Linked DNA regions of Ovis aries. The protein of the gene in region 1 purifies or fractionates together with the protein of each later gene. This does not show direct contact. Links are inferred from orthologs where the notes say so. Each region holds a gene or a part of one and is shown on either strand. Other genes may lie near its edges.

The links. Proteins that work in one complex are often made in the same cells at the same time.
Region 2: the proteins of RHOC (region 1) and ARHGDIA purify together in Homo sapiens (affinity purification with mass spectrometry; 4 studies listed by BioGRID and IntAct, with this or other methods). This does not show direct contact. The link is inferred for Ovis aries from reciprocal best matches to the Homo sapiens genes RHOC and ARHGDIA.
Region 3: the proteins of RHOC (region 1) and DAAM1 purify together in Homo sapiens (affinity purification with mass spectrometry; 3 studies listed by BioGRID and IntAct, counting the BioPlex papers as one, with this or other methods). This does not show direct contact. The link is inferred for Ovis aries from reciprocal best matches to the Homo sapiens genes RHOC and DAAM1.
Region 4: the proteins of RHOC (region 1) and RAP1GDS1 purify together in Homo sapiens (co-immunoprecipitation; 3 studies listed by BioGRID and IntAct, counting the BioPlex papers as one, with this or other methods). This does not show direct contact. The link is inferred for Ovis aries from reciprocal best matches to the Homo sapiens genes RHOC and RAP1GDS1.

What each region holds. Positions count from the first base shown.
Region 1 is NC_056054.1:90,100,248-90,104,652, forward strand, and holds the start of RHOC (rho-related GTP-binding protein RhoC), read right to left. Parts: upstream 2,813-4,405; 5' UTR 2,201-2,812; intron 1,031-2,200; exon of another isoform or gene 952-1,030; intron 1-951. UniProt on the Homo sapiens protein: Regulates a signal transduction pathway linking plasma membrane receptors to the assembly of focal adhesions and actin stress fibers.
Region 2 is NC_056064.1:50,520,115-50,524,342, forward strand, and holds the start of ARHGDIA (rho GDP-dissociation inhibitor 1), read left to right. Parts: upstream 1-1,393; 5' UTR 1,394-2,137; intron 2,138-2,223; 5' UTR 2,224-2,349; intron 2,350-2,942; 5' UTR 2,943-2,969; coding exon 2,970-3,159; intron 3,160-3,260; coding exon 3,261-3,344; intron 3,345-3,708; coding exon 3,709-3,785; intron 3,786-3,864; coding exon 3,865-3,928; intron 3,929-4,043; coding exon 4,044-4,228. UniProt on the Homo sapiens protein: Controls Rho proteins homeostasis. Regulates the GDP/GTP exchange reaction of the Rho proteins by inhibiting the dissociation of GDP from them, and the subsequent binding of GTP to them.
Region 3 is NC_056060.1:69,528,478-69,532,823, forward strand, and holds the start of DAAM1 (disheveled-associated activator of morphogenesis 1), read left to right. Parts: upstream 1-1,511; 5' UTR 1,512-4,346. UniProt on the Homo sapiens protein: Binds to disheveled (Dvl) and Rho, and mediates Wnt-induced Dvl-Rho complex formation. May play a role as a scaffolding protein to recruit Rho-GDP and Rho-GEF, thereby enhancing Rho-GTP formation. Can direct nucleation and elongation of new actin filaments.
Region 4 is NC_056059.1:26,856,809-26,860,844, forward strand, and holds the start of RAP1GDS1 (rap1 GTPase-GDP dissociation stimulator 1), read right to left. Parts: upstream 2,836-4,036; 5' UTR 2,648-2,835; coding exon 2,644-2,647; intron 1-2,643. UniProt on the Homo sapiens protein: Acts as a GEF (guanine nucleotide exchange factor) for the Rho family of small GTP-binding proteins (G proteins) that stimulates the dissociation of GDP to enable subsequent binding of GTP.

The sequences.
Region 1 (4,405 bases):
GTCCAATCTGGAACACATTGTCCCTCACTCAGCACAAATCATGCCTGCCCACTGCAAAACAAAGAGTTCGACTGATACGGGTGGGTAAGGAAAGACTATTTATCATAACCTAGACGCCAGGTAGGGCTTCCCAGGTGGTTCAGTGGTAAAGAATCTGCCTGCAATGCAGGAGACTCGGGTTTGATCCCTGGGTCAGGAAGATCCCCTGCAGAAGGAAGTGGCTACCTACTCCAGAGGTAGGAGTAGACAGAGGAGCCTGGCGGGCTATAGTCCATGGGGTCACAAAACAGTCCAATACATCCTTGCGACCAAACAGCAGGTGCTAGGTTCTACGTTGGACATTTTGACAAAAATCACTCCCTCTGTCCCCAGAAGCCTAGAAGGTAGTGAGCTTCCCTGTTTTGACAAACTAGGAAAGTGAGACTCATGGAAGCTAAGAGGAATTCGGAGTCATGGCAGAGAAGGCCCTCAGAGTAGGGCTGTGTGACTAGAGTCTGTTGCTTTTCTACATTATCACCCCAGAGGTGGGAAGGAGAGCAGAGCAAGGGGAACCCAGACGGAGGGCAGCAGCAGCGGCCAGCCAGCTTCCCTGGCCCACCCCATCCCAGTCCCCAGGGCCCCGCGTACACAAAGGAGGCTCAGTCCAGGCAGTGCCCACAGCCCACACTTGGGCAGGCTGCCTGCCTCCCCCTTCCTCCTGAGCCTGGCAGCAACACTGGGTCACTCAGCCCCAGGCAGGGGACAATGACCACACTGTAGGGAGCCACACATCTACGGCAGCAGAGCGACCGAGAATAATCCACTAGGGAATCACCTCCACCCACTCCCTGGGACGGCCCCTTCCTCCTCTCTGTCCAGCTCACCCTGAGGCCCTGCCCACCCCTCCCTGTGACTCAGGGCCAGGAGTCAGCTTCCCGGGGTTTCCATGTGTCCCCTGCCCCCAACACACACCGAAGGGCAGCTGCACAGTTCATCACACCTTGCCAGCTTCTTTTTGCCCCTGAAGCTGAGCCTCACTTCCTCCTTCCCTGGGGAGAGGAGCTGACCTCCAGCCGGCTGGAGTTCCCAGGCCCCCAGCCTGGGAGGAAGAGAGGGCGGGCTTCGGGCCTGAGATGAAGTTGAGGCTGTGGGGAGGAGCGGGAGCTGGAGCCGGCGCTGGGAGGAACTCCAAAAGGGAGACAAATGAAGGCCAATTCCAGCGCCAGCCACACAGGGAGTGGTTAAGAAAGAAGGGGACGGTAATCTGATCTCGGCCCCAAACCTGGCTTTTTCTCTCAGTCCCACATCCTGTCAAACTAGGCTGAGCTCCCTCACTCCCCACACACCACCACCACCACCTCACAGCCCAGCCCTGGTCTGCCTTTTTGGAAGCGAATATTACAGCCCAAGGCAAGTTCTCTTCAACAGTGGGATCCCGGGTGGCCTCCCTCCCCTCTACACACACAGGCACAACACTGGGATGAGGGGAAGCGGATGTGAATCAGATGGAATTTATAGGAGCTGAGCGCACAGCCACTCTCTAACACCACAACAGGGGCTTTCTGATATCCCAAAAGGCAAGCAAGAAGGCATTCACCCTGCCAGCTGATTTCCTCCACAAATGGAAACCATCCTTCAGAAAAGGGGGTCTCCTGAAAATTCTACCCAAGTGACCAACTCCCTCTCACATTCCCACAAGTCCATTGGTCCAACTGAGGGAAGACAGGCTGCAGTAGCCCCAACCTGGCACAGGCAGCGTTGATGGACAGATGGAGGGCATTCACCACCAGGGTGAATACCAGTTGCCTAGCTCTGAGTTTGCCACTGCCCTCTCCCACTCCAGCAGGGCAGTTTAGGTAGCACCAGATGGTGCAGGTCAGAGGCCAGAACTCCAGGGCAGGGGCATGCTGGAATGATCTGGAGCACACCCTCCCCTAGCTCATTTAACACTTTCCCTTCAAGCTCAGAGGGGTCCTAGACCCAGGCCAGGCCAAGACACCAGGCCCAAGGCCAAGACAGCAAGGACAACAGCTCCCTGTGAGAGGCAACCCCTGAGGAACTGCCCCACTGACTTCAAGAGGGGCAACCAAACCCCACAGGACGTGGTATGAGTCGAACTCCTGGGGCCTTCCCTGGGATGAAACAGCTCCTCAATCATCTCAAGCTTTCCAGCACACACGCACACACACAAACGGCTTGGATCCTTCCCAATTTCCCGTACCTCCACTCCAGGCCGGCTCCAGAAACCATCCTGGGCGAGGTCCAGACCCCGGAGCAGTGGCAGCCCCCGCGGTCACACCCCACCCTTATTCCTGCCACTTCACAGGCCCGGCGGGGGGGAATTCCCACCTCAAGCCGGACTCGGGCCCCAACTCACACCCCAGCCAAGGTCCACCGCGGGCCGCCAGACTTGGGAGCTGAGCATCTGCGCGGGAGCTCCCTCGCGGAGACCCAAGTTGCCCCCTCTCCTCCTCGCCCTGCCAAGCAGGTTCTGGGAAGCCGAGAGAAGGGAACGGACTTCGACTCGGACACCTAGAGGCGAGAGGCCCTGCGGGACAATTCCCGGCGCCCCCCACAGTAGCCCAGGAGGGCAGGGAGAGGCCCAGCCGTCCGGATCCCCGCGCCGCCCAGACGCCGCGTACGAGGGGAGGGAAGGGGCCCGCGCTCGGGCCAAAGCCCCTCCCCGGCCGGCGCCCCGAGCTCCAGCCAAGTTGGAGAAGAGGGAAAGTGCTCTGCCGGGGACCAATGCCCAGGACTCCGCCGCCCACAGCCCCAACCCGGGTACCTTCCGCTCCGCCGCTTCCAGCTGCGCTGCGGGTGCGGGAGGCAGAGTGACCCGCGGGGCCCCGCCGCCCCGCCCTCCTCCAGCGCCGCGGCGGGGAGGGGCGACTGGCCGGGAGGGGCGGGCCGGGCGGCTCTCGGCTCCGCCCGCCCCCGGCCCCCGCCCGCGGCCCCAGGCGGTAGCCCGGCGCTGGCCCGCGGGGTCCGGGAGATGCCTGGACTGCGGAGGAGCGGGCGGCGGGGCTAGGCGCGGCGAACTGGACCCGGGAGGACTCTGCCTCAGCGCCACCTTCCAGCTCTTACGGGCGGACCGGCGTCGGGAAAGTTGAGAGGCGCCCGGGGTGGGGTCAGGAAAGGGCCGCTGCTGCCCTCCCGTGGCTGAGCGGCCACCCGCGCCTACACCACCTGGGTGGTGTCCCGTGGGAGGCGGGACTGGGAAAAGCGGCTTCGGGGACGCCGGAGGAAGGGGCTGCGGGAAATCCCCACCCTCTTAGAATCTTTGCGCAGTAAGTACAGCCCAGCATCATCCCCCAGCCTCGGAGACCTTTCAGAACCTTTGAGATTCAGGGGCACTTGGTTCCACCTTGCAATTACCTTCCATCTCCCTACCCGGAATTTCCAACTCCTACCCATCCTTCAAAGGGCATTCTTGGAAATCTTTCTGGATTCCCCAGCTAAGAATTCAGTTCCCACCTGCACTGTCTTATTTCTGTGCTTCTAGGGACACCTCCCAGGTGCTCTAGAGGCCTCGCAGGTGGCTCAAGTGATAAAGAATTCGCCTGCCAATGCAGGAGACACAGGCAGGAGAGGCCGGTTCAATCCCTAGGTCAGGAAGATCCCCTGAAGGAGGAAATGGTAACCCACTGTAGTATTCTTGCTTGGGGAAATCCCATGGACAGAGGAGTCTGGTGGGCTACAGTCCATGGGGTTACAAAGAGCCAGACAGGACAGAGCACAGTTCACACGTAGCACAGGGACACCTAGCTTGCTTTGACTTGTGTGTTGAGTATTTACCAAAACGTGTATCTTTTTCCCTGAAAGGTACATGAGGAAGTGAATGGAGGATGAGGAGTCTACTTACATTTTATTAGCTTGTGCAGGGCACACTACATAGCTTCTAATAGTCATCACAGATTTTTGGGTTAAGTATACACATCCCCTTTTACCTGTAAGGAAACTGAGGCTCAAGAAGTCAGTGACTTGTCCAAATTTTGCCATATGTACATGGCAGAGCAAAATCTCAGAGAGTCAGGCCTGTCTGGCTCCAAAGCTGGTCTCTCTCCCTGCTGCCCACTGTGATCCTTCACTCTGTCCCTTCTCACTTTCTGGCACAATGTGTGGCACGTAATAGGTTTTCAACAAATATTTGCTGAATGAATGAATGTTACAAGTCATACAGACTTTAAAGATCTGACAAGCAACCCACACATCTGCTAAATGAGGAAACTGAGGTCCACAGCAGTTTGGTCCCAATCCTCTTAAGTGGCTCAATAGACCTAGCTATGTACTCAGTTCAGATCAGTTTCTATCTTCAAAGAACTTGTGATCTAAATCCAGAATACAGACAAATTAAAGATAAGTAATAGTTATTGAACCCTTATTACACAGACCGGGCTATGCATACATGAACTACTTTAGTCCTATA
Region 2 (4,228 bases), on another chromosome or scaffold:
CAGCACGTGCATAAGCTTGGAATGCTTGCAGATCCTGAAACCAGGTCCCTGGCTCACAGTTCAACCACAACCTCACTAGACGAGCCAGAACCACCGAGCGGAGCTCTCCCTGATCCTCGGTAAGGACAGTGTATGTTGGTCGTTTCAAGCTGCTAAATTCCAGGGTTATGTTTTTACACAGCAATAGGTGACTAATATAACAGAGTTAGATAGTTTTCAAAAAGCACTTGGGTTATCGAAAAACAAACTTTTGCTCAGTCAGCGATTGGGCAATGTAGCAGGACGCAGGATGAGTGCGTCGGGGACTAGCCGGGCAGTTTTCAGGTGCGCCAACAGGAAGCCTCAAAAGTGTGTATGGAATAAATACAAGATTGGAATGCTCTGCCTTTGGCCAACTCAACTTTCTACATGTTAAGCTGACCATGTGACTCTTCATTACAGAAAACTCGCAAATATTCCCCCAAAGTTAAGACATTTCCAAAAGATACCAAGGTCAGTATTTCACATTAGGTTCTGTGACCTAAAACGCCCCCACCACGTGCAATCCAGGGGTGTGTGTTTGTGATGACTCGGGTGTGAAGCATTTGAGGTCTTGCACTCCGCGAGGAGGAGGCGAAGGAAGAAGAGATGCATGCTAGACCGGCGTTGGCAGCGCAGGCTCCGCCAGCCTGGCTACAAATCATAGGCCCGGCTTGGCGCTGCAAAATCCTCGCTGGTTGAAGGCGTGGGCATGTGTCCGATAGTCGCCACGCCTGGTGGCGTCTGGGCTAGGAGCTCCCAAAAGGGCGACCGCATGGTGACTTGGGCTGGAAGGGGAAAGGCCTGGAGAGAGCTATTTGGACACCCGTGGATGAACGTTCGACGATAACTTCCGGGAGGGCGGACATCGGCGAGTGGGCGCGAAGGCAGCCTAAGGCCGGACAGCTGCCACTCGCTGACCTCGGCTACTTGATGGGATCGGCTGTGCCGGCTCGTCCCCGCGGCGTGATGGCAGCGGGCCCTCGAAGGGAGAGATGCCCGCTGACGGAGACGCGCCCGTGACACACGCGCGTCCCAGCACCTCGCAGAAATACCATGCCGCGCTCAGGTTTCTCGTGGCGCTCAGCGAGACCATCTCACTTCCCCACCCCTTCAGCTTGCCGGCAGACTCCTGAGGATACCCGGGACTAAGAAAAGCCTGTGGCAAAGAGCACAGGAGCCCCAACCGGACAAGTCTCCTTTGCCGCGCTGCCCAAACGGACGCGCCCACGAGGCCGGTCCGCAAGATGGCGGCGGCGCGCTGCCGGCAGCTCCTCGCACATGCGCTATCCGCGGCCCGCCCGGCGCGAGCGGAAGTCGCGTGACCCCGGAAGTGGCCGGCAGGGCGCGCGCGGGCGGGGCGGCGACGTTCGTCATTCTGTGCGGGAGGGAGCGCGAGAGCGGCGCGGACGATCCTCCGGTGAGTGCGGGCGGCGAGGCCAGCGAGCGCGGTGGGCACGGCGGGCGAGGCGGCCGCGGGGAAGGAGGCCGGGGCCGCGCCTTTGTTCTCGCTTCCCGCCCCGCCCGCCAGTCCCGCTGAGGGAATCTGCGCAGGGCGGGGGCGGCATTGACAGCGGGCGGCGCCCCGGGCGCAGGGCGGGCCCACGTGCGATCGGGGGCGCGGGGATCTGGAGGCGGGGGCGCGTGTGCCGGGGGTGGGAGCCGGGGTCTGTGCAGACCTCTTTTGTGGTCGCTGCTCGTACTCGGCAGCCCCCTGCTTGCTGGTGCGCGCGGACCAGGGCCAGGCGGGACGCCTCCTCCCCTGGGAGGTGAGGTCCCTGCGCCCCACCCTGCTTGCCGGGCCTCGCCTGGCCCAGATTGCAGGCCCTGCGGAAGTGCGGGCCTCGCCATCGCACTTAAATGATTTTGTCGCCTGCGGCCGCGCTTGAGTGACGTTAAGGCGTGAGCCTTCTAGAGGAATTCCAGAGGAAGCTGCAGGGAAGCTTGGAAAGAACGAGCCGGCCCCACCCTGCCTGTGGCGGCCGGGCGGTTCCGGGTCCCCAGCGGCCCTTTGTAAGATCGGGTCCTCACGCACGTCCCGGCATTGGCTGTCTTTACTGGCAACCGGTGGCCCTGACCCACCTCCCACACCGCCGGGTCTAGTCTGAGTCGGTTTCAGGTACTCCTCAGGGATTCTGCGGGGTGCGACGGTCATCCTTAGCGAAGGAAGTCCTGTGGCTGCCCCATCACTTCTCGCTTTGACAGCATTGCTCTGGGCTCTTCTGGGGCCCGGGCGGAAGGAGGATCTTGAGACTACCCATCACATGGCTGCAGCAGTTCTCAAATTCTAGGTCACAGACCCTCACAATTAGAGATTGGTTTGTCGGACAGGTAGGGTCTTTTAGGCCATTTCAGGACTTACCTGTGGGACTTAGGCTAGCCCCGTCATCTGAGCTCTAGGGGAGACCTGTGTTTGGGCTGGAGGGAGACATGACTGACCCATGTCCTGCACAAAGGCCTTGGTTTGTAGCTGGGGCGTTTTTGAAGGAACAGGCTGGTCAGAGAGAACCCAGCAAGAGGGTTTCCTTGAGGAGAGGGCCTAGGCAGCTCAGAACAAGAAGCAGCACTTGGTCCTGGTGCTTCCTGGTTGGACCCAGGTGCTGCTGCTTCCTGGGCAGCAGGGAAGCTGTGCCTGCTTTCCTTTCATTTAGCTCTGGATGCTGGGGTGAGGTCCTGTGAGGTGGGCAGGGCGAGGAGGTGAGTGGCCCCTTTGGGCTTCAGGAGCCTGTGTCTGGGCCTTTTATGAAGTTCTGGCTGTCACTGCCTTCCTGTTAGAGAACGTGCACCTCCCCTTGGGCCCAGGTTGGGGGTTTGGCCACTTGCAGAGAGCCAGTGCAGACCACCTGCAGGTCCTGCAGAAGGGCAGGTGGGGACACACTGTGGGTCCCTCCAGGCTGCCGCAGCCCCTGCTACTCTGGTCACAGGTGTCTCACATCCAGCTAGAGGTGAGTATGGCTGAGCAGGAGCCCACAGCCGAGCAGTTGGCACAGATTGCGGCAGAGAACGAGGAGGACGAGCACTCGGTCAACTATAAGCCCCCGGCCCAGAAGAGCATTCAGGAGATCCAGGAGCTGGACAAGGACGACGAGAGTCTGCGCAAATACAAGGAGGCCCTCCTGGGCCGCGTGGCTGTGTCTGCCGGTAAGTGGGCCCCGGTGGGGTGTGTGGACACCTGTCGCTTTTCTGGGTGTCCGCCACTATTTCCCCTGCTGGCGGAGCTCTAACTTGCTGTCACTCTGCAGACCCCAATGTCCCCAATGTTGTGGTGACCCGACTGACCCTGGTGTGTAGCACTGCCCCGGGCCCCCTGGAGCTGGACCTGACAGGTGAGTGGCATCTCCAGGTTCCTCGCTGGGGCTGCCTGGCACCCTGCTAATTCCCCTAAAAATAATTTGTTGAGATGCTGGCGCCCTCTTGTGGGGAGCCTAGGAAGTGCAACCAAGTGATTTTAATAAGGCTCTGGCTTTGGTGTGGCCTGGGATTGGAGGGTGGGGTGTGTGTGGGTGTCTGGGGTGTGGCCTGGGATGTCAAGGGGTGTGTGTGTGGGTGTGGGTGTGTGGGTGTGTGTGTTTGGTGTGGCCTGGGATGCCGGGGGTGTGTGTGTGTAGAGGGGCAGACAGGGCACCCCACCAGGGCCGGAGTGGCTTCCCCTACCTGAACCTCCTAGTGTGGCGTTCCTCTCAAACGCAGGTGATCTGGAGAGCTTCAAGAAGCAGTCTTTTGTGCTGAAGGAGGGTGTGGAATATCGGATAAAAATCTCCTTCCGGGTAAGGAGGAGGCTTGGGGGGATGCTGGGGGCTCGGACTGGAGAGTCTGGCTGAGCCCCGCTTGTGTGCCTCCTTGCAGGTGAACCGAGAGATTGTGTCCGGCATGAAGTACATCCAGCACACGTACAGGAAAGGCGTGAAGAGTGAGTGCGGGGGCACCAGGAGGGAGGTGGCCACCGGGGGCTCAAGGGGCGCCGGGAGGGAGCGGGGAAAGGCCCGCCTCAGCTCCCTGACGGACGCCCTCCCCGTGCCCCACAGTTGACAAGACTGACTACATGGTGGGGAGCTATGGGCCCCGGGCGGAGGAGTATGAGTTCCTGACGCCCATGGAGGAGGCGCCCAAGGGCATGCTGGCTCGAGGCAGCTACAACATCAAGTCCCGCTTCACAGACGACGACAGGACTGACCACCTGTCCTGGGAATGGAACCTCACCATCAAGAAG
Region 3 (4,346 bases), on another chromosome or scaffold:
AAATCTCTCCCTCAGAAAAACAAAACATTTCTCTCTTTCCTGAGAGCCTCAGTTAGTTCCATGAATATTTTTCTCTTGAACCCCATTATTCTTGCACAATGATATGAGAAAATAAGAGTGATAAGACTTTCACCAACAATTAGGTGGAGAATTGTTTGAAATTTTGTGATTCCCCGCCCCCTCCCCACAAACCGTGGTCTTCTAGACATTCTGCTAGTGGAAACAGGGGTGTGAACTAATCCTTAAATGTGACTAAGATATTGAATGCCATTACAATTTACCTTTACAACTGGAATAACTGGATGTATTGATTTATTTTTCATTTAAAAAGACACCTAAAGATTTACTCTCAATGTTACTTTTTCATAACGTTTGGTGATCATTGAGTAATATAAAGTGCCATGGGAAAAATATACATATTAAAAATAAAATTTTCCTGAAGGTTCGGAATTCCACATACCTTTTGCTTACTTTAAATTAAACATATAAGTTATTAATATCACAGTAATTCCTGAACAGCATGATGTGTTGTTTGGCTGAAGTCATACAAAAATTTGAAGAGTATGGTATATACATTGAGCGGAAAGTGTGTGCATTTAAGAGTACATGTATACATATGTGTTATTTATTAAAACTTCAGGCAAGGATGTTGTCTTCCTGCAAATTCAGAGCCCTGAGAGCGGGAAGTCTGCTGCAGAGAAGAACAAAAGCATGGCTGCGCGATAGTATTATCTCTGCAGCAGCAGCAGGCTCCCTGACGAAGGGCTGCGGCGACTATCTAGTCTGTTACACTGCATTTTTATTACTGACACCCTGCGTTATTCTGTCAGCTCAGCCGACTAAGCTGTTCCCCGAGTTCTGGCTGGTCACCCTGACTCCGTTAAATGGGAGAAGGAAAGAGAAGGCAGGTGATTTGTACCAACTGGGGCACGGGGAGATTTCTTTCCTTCGGGGTCAGTGTCCTTCATCGTCCGGGACTTGGGGAATTCCAGGATCACATTTAACCCAGAAACCAGAGTGTCCTATTCGTTAGTTGCTGCGCAGAGGGAAGACAGTGAAAGGCTTAATCTCTTCCCAGCTGGGGCCAATAGAGCTGGGTTGGTCAGAGTTGCCTGGCTGATGTGCAGTAGCCTGGACCCTGCTGGTCCCTCAGAGACCGCACGGGGCCTAGAGGAGGTCAAGTCAAAGGGCACGACCTCAGGGAGCTTCCCCCCCAACTCTTGCCCGCGCAGTCCGCAACTCGGCTCCTGAACGACCACCGCTACTACTGCAAGGCTGGAGGGCGGGGAGGGGGCGGGTCGCGGAGGGGGCGGGAATAGGGGCGGGGACGAAGAGGCTCTGAAGTTTGTTGGGAAGTGTAGTTTTCAGAACCTCAGAAGCGTAGCTATCCAGGCTCTGCTTGTGGAGTGTTAACTACGATTCCCAGGAGTACACGGGCCCAGCCCGGGAGTCCATGCGCAGTGGGCGCCACATTGTATCCTATCAGGCGAGGAGAGGGTGATGTCACCTGCGAGTTGGTAACCTACGAGCGGCTGTGAAGGAAACTGTTTAACCGGATCCCATTGTACCCGGAGCGCAGAGCCGCCTTTTCAGCATGCAGGGGCTGCTCAGGTAAGGGGGACGTGCCGCGTCGCCCGCCGCACTCATTCATTAAGAGGCACCGCGCGGTGGCGCGGGGGTGGGCGCGCTTCTTCGCGGCCCGGTGCTGGGTTCGCAGCACGCCCTCCCGCTGTCTTCCCGGAGCTCCCGGGCCAGTAGGTAAATATTAAACCCGTCCTTCAGGTTGGGTCTGGGTGGGAACAGGACCTAGACAGCTCCCAGCTGCCAAGCTGGGTTTGGGAAAATGGCTGCAAGCGCGGCTCAAAGCAAGGCGAGTCCGGGGGAAGGCGCCCCGAGGACAGAGTTGCCTCCCTTCTTTCTTTCTGAGGCGCTTGGACGCCAAGAGAGCCAGCAGGGTACCACTCGCCGCCTTGCTGATGACACGCTGGGGCTCTGGGGCTCTTGGCCTCTGCTGGGTGCTGCGGGCACTGCTACTGTCGGGAGTTGCTGGCCCGGGAGGCTCTGGAAGGGAGAATCCCGAGGTAGGCTTGTTAGAGTGGTAACCGAAGAGGCGGGACTCATTTACTGGTTCGCGTCCCAGCAGAATCCCCGCTATCCCGGGGACCCTCGCCTCAAGACTCATTCGACAGGGATGGGGTGACTGTAATTTAGGCGAAGTTGGAAGCTCAAGGTCTCAAATGAGAAAGAGGAGGGAAACCCACGTTGCGGAAAGAGCGAGGGGTTGTTTGCGGACATCGGTGAGGGGAGGCTGCGCAGCCTGCGGACCGGGTTCGAGGCGCCACAGGGCGATCCAGCCTCCCGTCCCTTTGGGTAGGGCACACCTTGGTGCCCCTTGCACTGATGGCTCACTTGACCAGGAGCACTTGAGCTAGGACGAAGCCTCTGCCCGGAGCGCTGGCTGGGCGGTGGTAAAGCGGTGGGGAGAGTTGAATAATCTAATGATAACAGTCGCAGTGGAACAGAAGGGCTGGGTGATCGGTTTTCACAGCTAGTGGTGAAAATCCAACTGCTTGTGATCCGCATTGAGACGTGTGCGAGGCCCATGAACTCTATATAATAAAGTCCTCTGGATATCCTTTCCCTAGCACCCTTATCCTTTCTCTTACTCATTCATCAAACCTTTGCTAAAGGCTCTGTTCTCAAGTTGCTCTCAGCCTGCGATTGGGGTATTCTGCCTCTCGTTCCTATAAAATATTTTAGTGGACCCAGGGATCGAATACACTTCAACCGTCGTTCACTACCGAGCCCCTCACCCTTCGCCCCCTATCTCCAGGATGCTCAAGGAGAGTATTAAGAGTAAATGCCACCCATGACCGTTTTGCTCCCGTTGAGCTAGTAGTTTCCCCAGGCTCGGGAAGGACCTAGTGAATTGAAGCGGAGTTTGCCTGCAAGATGAATCCTGTTGCCATGGCGACTCCTGTCGTCGGAATCTTAACTGCTCCCACTGCTGTTTCAATTCGTCGTGGCCCTGCGGGCAGCTGGGAGGGCGTGGCCAGTAGGTGTGGTCAGATGCTCGCCCTGGGCCCAGCTGCTCCCTCCTGGTCACCGGTTTCACAGTGCCGGGCTCTCTCCATTCCCTGTAAATAGCTTGAATACAATTTTTAGACCCCTTTCCCTCTGTCAAGCCCATACCTGGTCTCCCCAGCTCCATCCCCAGAAAAAGCTCTTAAGAGCCTTTGTCCTGAGGCAGACTCCGAAAATTAGAACCAAAAGATCTCTTTCCTCTTTCACGCTTATGTTATGTATGTTATGTGAAGTCGCTCAGTCGTGTCCGACTCTTTGCGACCCCGTGGACTGTAGCCCACCAGGCTCCTCCGTCCATGGGATTCTCGAGGCAAGAATACTGGAGTGGGTTGCCATTTCCTTCTCCAGGGGATCTTCCCGACCCAGGGATCAAACCCAGGTCTCCCACATTGCAGGCAGACACGTTAACCTCTGAGCCACCTAGCTGCTCCATTTTCCTAATAACATATGTAATAGTGTTGGAAACAGCTTTCTTTCTCAAGGAGGGAGTTCTCTGTCATGCTTGAAGAGAGCTCTCTGGCTACCAGTAAAGGTCCTCAATTTGCCCTAAGTGCAATTTTAGGGACAAGTAATGACTGAAATTGAGTTCAGGAAGTCACTGCTATCCCATGTGTTTCTAATGAAATCCAAAAGCCTGCCTAGAGGATTCAGATCCTTGAGAGGGTTGGGATCTAGGAAGCCTGGGTCCTGCTCCGGCATTACTGGCTTCCCCTTCTGGGGTGAACCCTCTGCCTCTGGGACCTCAGTCATTGGTGACCTGGGGAAAGCAGCATAGAGTGTTTCCTAAAGTTGATTTCAATATAAAATCTTGTGGCTCTAAGAAGGAGTTGTTTGTCGTCTTTTATTTTTCTCAAAGAAATCTGAAGATGAGAGTTTAAGCCCAGCTTTTGACACTGTGACATCGGATTAGTATCTGAGCCCTACTTGTATGGCAAAATAGCCTGAGTCTCATGGTAATCCTTCAAAGTGGGCAAAGCAGCTATATTAGTATTTATGATATTAGTTCTATCCTTACTACTATTATCCCAGTACCTGGACATCTGTTTATCTTTTTATTGTAGGGTTGTTTAGGTTTTGACTTTTTAGATTCTTGTGGAATGCAGTTATTGGTAATTGCATTGAGTAATTGAGCTATACATTTTGCTTACCTTCTGCTTTCATTTCATACTGAAGTGTATTATCACAGATATTGCAATTAAGGGGTAAGTGTATGTCTGTTAGCATCAGTGCATCATGTGCAGGTAAATGCTTGGGGATGCTGT
Region 4 (4,036 bases), on another chromosome or scaffold:
ACCCTTTATGTATGTATGAATTGTTATAATAACTTCCTTGGGTTAGAATATAAAATTGCTTCCCAAGCTTTCAGTTTTACATTATTGTATGTACCTACTGATCACAAACTAAACCAACATACCACTGAAGACAGCAGTGTAAAAAGAAATAGCTTGCCTGGTGGCTGCTCCAAAACCCATACCTCTTAAGACAACTCAACTTTTTTTTTTTTTTTCGAGAAAGAGAGAAGAGCAATCATAGTGTAAATATACTTCTCTGTTCCCACTTCTTCACACCTCCATTACCTCCCTGCTGCTGCTGCTAAGTCGCTTCAGTCGTGTCCGACCCCATAGACAGCAGCCCATCAGGCTCCCCCGTCCCTGGGATTCTCCAGGCAAGAACACTGGAGTGGGTTGCCATTTCCTTCTCCAATGCATGAAAGTGAAAAGTGAAAGGGAAGTCGCTCAGTCATGTCCGACTCTTAGCGACCCCATGGACAGCAGCCTACCAGGGTCCTCCATCCATGGGATTTTCCAGGCAAGAGTACTGGAGTGGGGTGCCATTGCCTTCTCCGCTATTACCTCCCTAACATCTACCAACTCAAACGTTCTTCAGAGTCCATACTTACAGGTTCACAAGTTCACAATAATAGATGGGTTTGCAGTTCAACAATTAATTCAAAGAGTTACTGAATATCTACTATGTGGAAAGCACTGTGGAGGGCCCAAAAATCATTAAGACACAATTTTCATCTTCTGGAACACATGACTAAATGCACAACACACACACATATAAACAACTCCATTATAAAGCTGATTATATAAGAGCTCAAAAGCTTCCAACAAGGTACAAACAGAATGACGTGAGAGAGTAATTTAGTCAAAGTATACCTGAGAAGCTTCAAATGAGGAATGGATTTAATTTTCTTTGAAATCAAGTAATAATATTCAAGATTTTCAAGATTATTTTTAAATTATTTTTTCAGTAGTACTGCAATAGAATTTAATTTTTTTCCCACCGAAATGGTACTGATTCAACATGCAAGTTAAAATTTTAAACAGATTTTTATTAGCTCAGCTTGAAACATGGTGAAATACAGTTTATAGGCCAACTTGTGGCCTATAATTAACAGGAAAAAATTTGTTATGTTCAAGGGGAAGACAAACTATGTCTCCAACAATCTGAACTAATATTCTACTCCCAGAGAAAGGCTAGGTACATATAAATGGATCACTCAATTTTTACAGAAATCTCTTCAGCATACCAATAGGACATTAAAAAGAAAAAAACTGAACAAGAGAAAATAAAATTCTGGGTCTTAGATTCACTTTTCATTCATACCACCTCCTCTTGTAACAATGACCTCTTCCTGATATACAGCAAAAGATCTGAATCAGAGCCTGGAGCATTTGCTTTTTAAGCTCCATCCACACCATTTCTAGATTTAGACACTTCTTTGAAGATTCTGAGTTGCCATGACCTAACTCTGGACGTGCTGAGTACTGTATTGACAGATGAAAGGACCACACTCATCTGAAGCTTAAAATAACTTGCAGGGAAGGGGTGGGAAAAGTCCAAGTTGATATATGCCAATGTAGCAAATTCTAAAAAGAGGAAACTATAATAGACAGGAATGGAAACAAACTGGGGAACTTGGAGAAGCATGGTATTCCAAATTGCTACCATTTAAAAAAACTTTGGTCTTTTAATTACATTACAGTATCCATAAGACGTTTTTGCAATTACTGAACTTCAAAATTAAGCAACATACTGTGAAAAAAAAAAAAGGATAAATTACATGCACTTTTATAAAAGATACTTGCTTTTAAATATCCAAAACTCTTGACATTAACAAAAAAATAACTAAAATCAGATTATGTAGATTTCGACAAGGGAAGCCGGGAAAGAATAACGTGTAAGTTGGGTAACATGTTACAGGGTGCAGTTTCCTACTACAGTAGACAGGCAAAAGAACCAAGAAAATGGGTTGAGCACAGAATACTGCTACACTGCAGCCACTCAACACTAATTCAACAGCTAGCGGGCTCTATCCATCCTTCCTCACGGTCCTCGTGGCCTCTGACAAGTCATCCTTTCAACCTATGAGACTGTGCGCTCTCCCCCAACAAATATAAATTCCCGTGCAGGTTGTAAAATCTCCCCCACAAACTACATGCTCACACCTCCTCGCCTTGGGATGAGCAGTTCCCACAGTGGGGAAAGGTCGCCCTGGCAGGGAAGTTGGGTGAAGTGGTCTTTCTCGCGGTCCGACCCGAGCCTCCAGCCCAGCAGCCGCTGGGGAAAGGAAACGGGCGGCCACCGAAGGAACCGGGAAGGGGCAGCGGATGCGAGCCCGCAAGGCAGGCTCCGTGGTGCCCGCTCGGGCAGGAAGAATGGAGGAGGGGAGGCTAGGCAGCGAGGTGCCCGAGAGGCGGGCGGCGATCCGCCCCGCGGCCAGACCCCACCCCGCACTCGGCACCCTCCCAGTTCGCGGACCCGGCGTGCGTTCCGCGTGCGCCGACTCTCCCGGGAGGAAGAGCCACTGCCTCACACCCGTGGATTTGAGAAATCAGGCAACTTTGCGCGAGAAATGCTTCCCACCCTGCAACACACCGAGAAAGAGAAATATGTCAGGCGATGACGGGGGAGGAAGGATGACTTACCCATGTTCCTCCCAGAGGGTGAGGAGCCGGCAGGGCGAGGCGAAGGTCTCCGGTGCGGGCGGCGCGGCGCTGTGTCCTCCGTCTACCTCTGTCTCTCCCGCAGCCAGGGAGGGACCCGCGGGGGGCGGCCGCCGGGGAGGAGCAGCTGCCGCTGCTGCTGCTGCAGACGGCGCGGCCGCGGCGGGGACGAGCGGCGGGGGGCGGGGCGGGGTAGGGCGGGGCGGGCGCGGCGGGCGCAGCCTGCGGCGGGCGCGGCTCCGAGCGGGCGGCGGAGGCGCCGAGCCCAGCCGGAGGAGCGCCCGCCCCGACGCGCCGTCCGAGAGCGCCCCGCCCTCCCCACCGAGCATGCTCAGTGCGTTCCCCGCCCCCCCACGCCTGGGGCCAGTGAATCCGAGCGTGCGGGTGGGCGTGTGTTTGCGGGCCGGCTGCAGCTGCGGCGGAGGAGCTTGATGGCGGCCGCCCGAGGGTGAGCCTTCAGAGGCCGAACGCCGGGACGCCGAGCCCGAGCTACTACACCTGGCTCTCTACCATGGCTCCCGCCAACCCACACCCGGAAAACGGGCCCGTGTTCATTTCGGGACAGTCTAGGTGCACCGGCGGGAATTTCCCGAAGGAGGAGACGCTGGGCCTTCTTAGACCCGGGAGGGTGGTCGGGAAGCAAAGCGGACGTTCTGAAATGAAGGTGGAATGGACGTGCTGGCCATGAGGCCAGCGACTCTGGAGACAGATACCTGAGAACGCCCGTTTTCAGAGCAGCCTATGGGCCCGCTGGGCACAGAGCAAGGAGGCGGCCGCTGGGAGGGCGCTCAGCATTAGGACTGTCTTGTCTGTGGCCAGTTTTAAAAAAAAAAAAGGTTCGGCAAACGAGAGGAGTGACCGTCCCGGGATTTCTTCAGAAAGTGTTGTTCTTCCAGAGGAGTGCGGCCTTCCGTTCCCCGGAGGACACCTGAAAAGCTATGTAACTAGGGTGCCCTAGCCATGGGGCGCCACCCTGCCGGGATGTGCCCGGCTCCCTTTGAACGCGGCAGGCACAAGGTTGCCAAAGTGGAAAATTAAGTCCGCAGAGTTGCCTGCGGCCCCTCAGGGTACATCGGTCGGAGTTTTCCTGGGTCCGCGAGGCCGCCCAACAGCGGGGAAAACCTGAGCCTCGCGGTCCCTAGTGAGGCGCCCTCCCAACTGGGCATGCGCGCGGGGCGGAGGCTGGTCTTGGTTCCTCTGCCCTGGGAGAGGAGGCAGGGGGAAACCTATTTCGCCGCTCTGGTTGGGGTGAGGAACCTGGTCGCTCTCCCGAGGCAGCAACTGCAGTCGTGCATGGGAAAGGGCGCTGTCAGCAGCACAACCTGTGAGAGGGAGATGACAAATAGCTAAATGGAAATTTCTTTCCTTTTTCAAC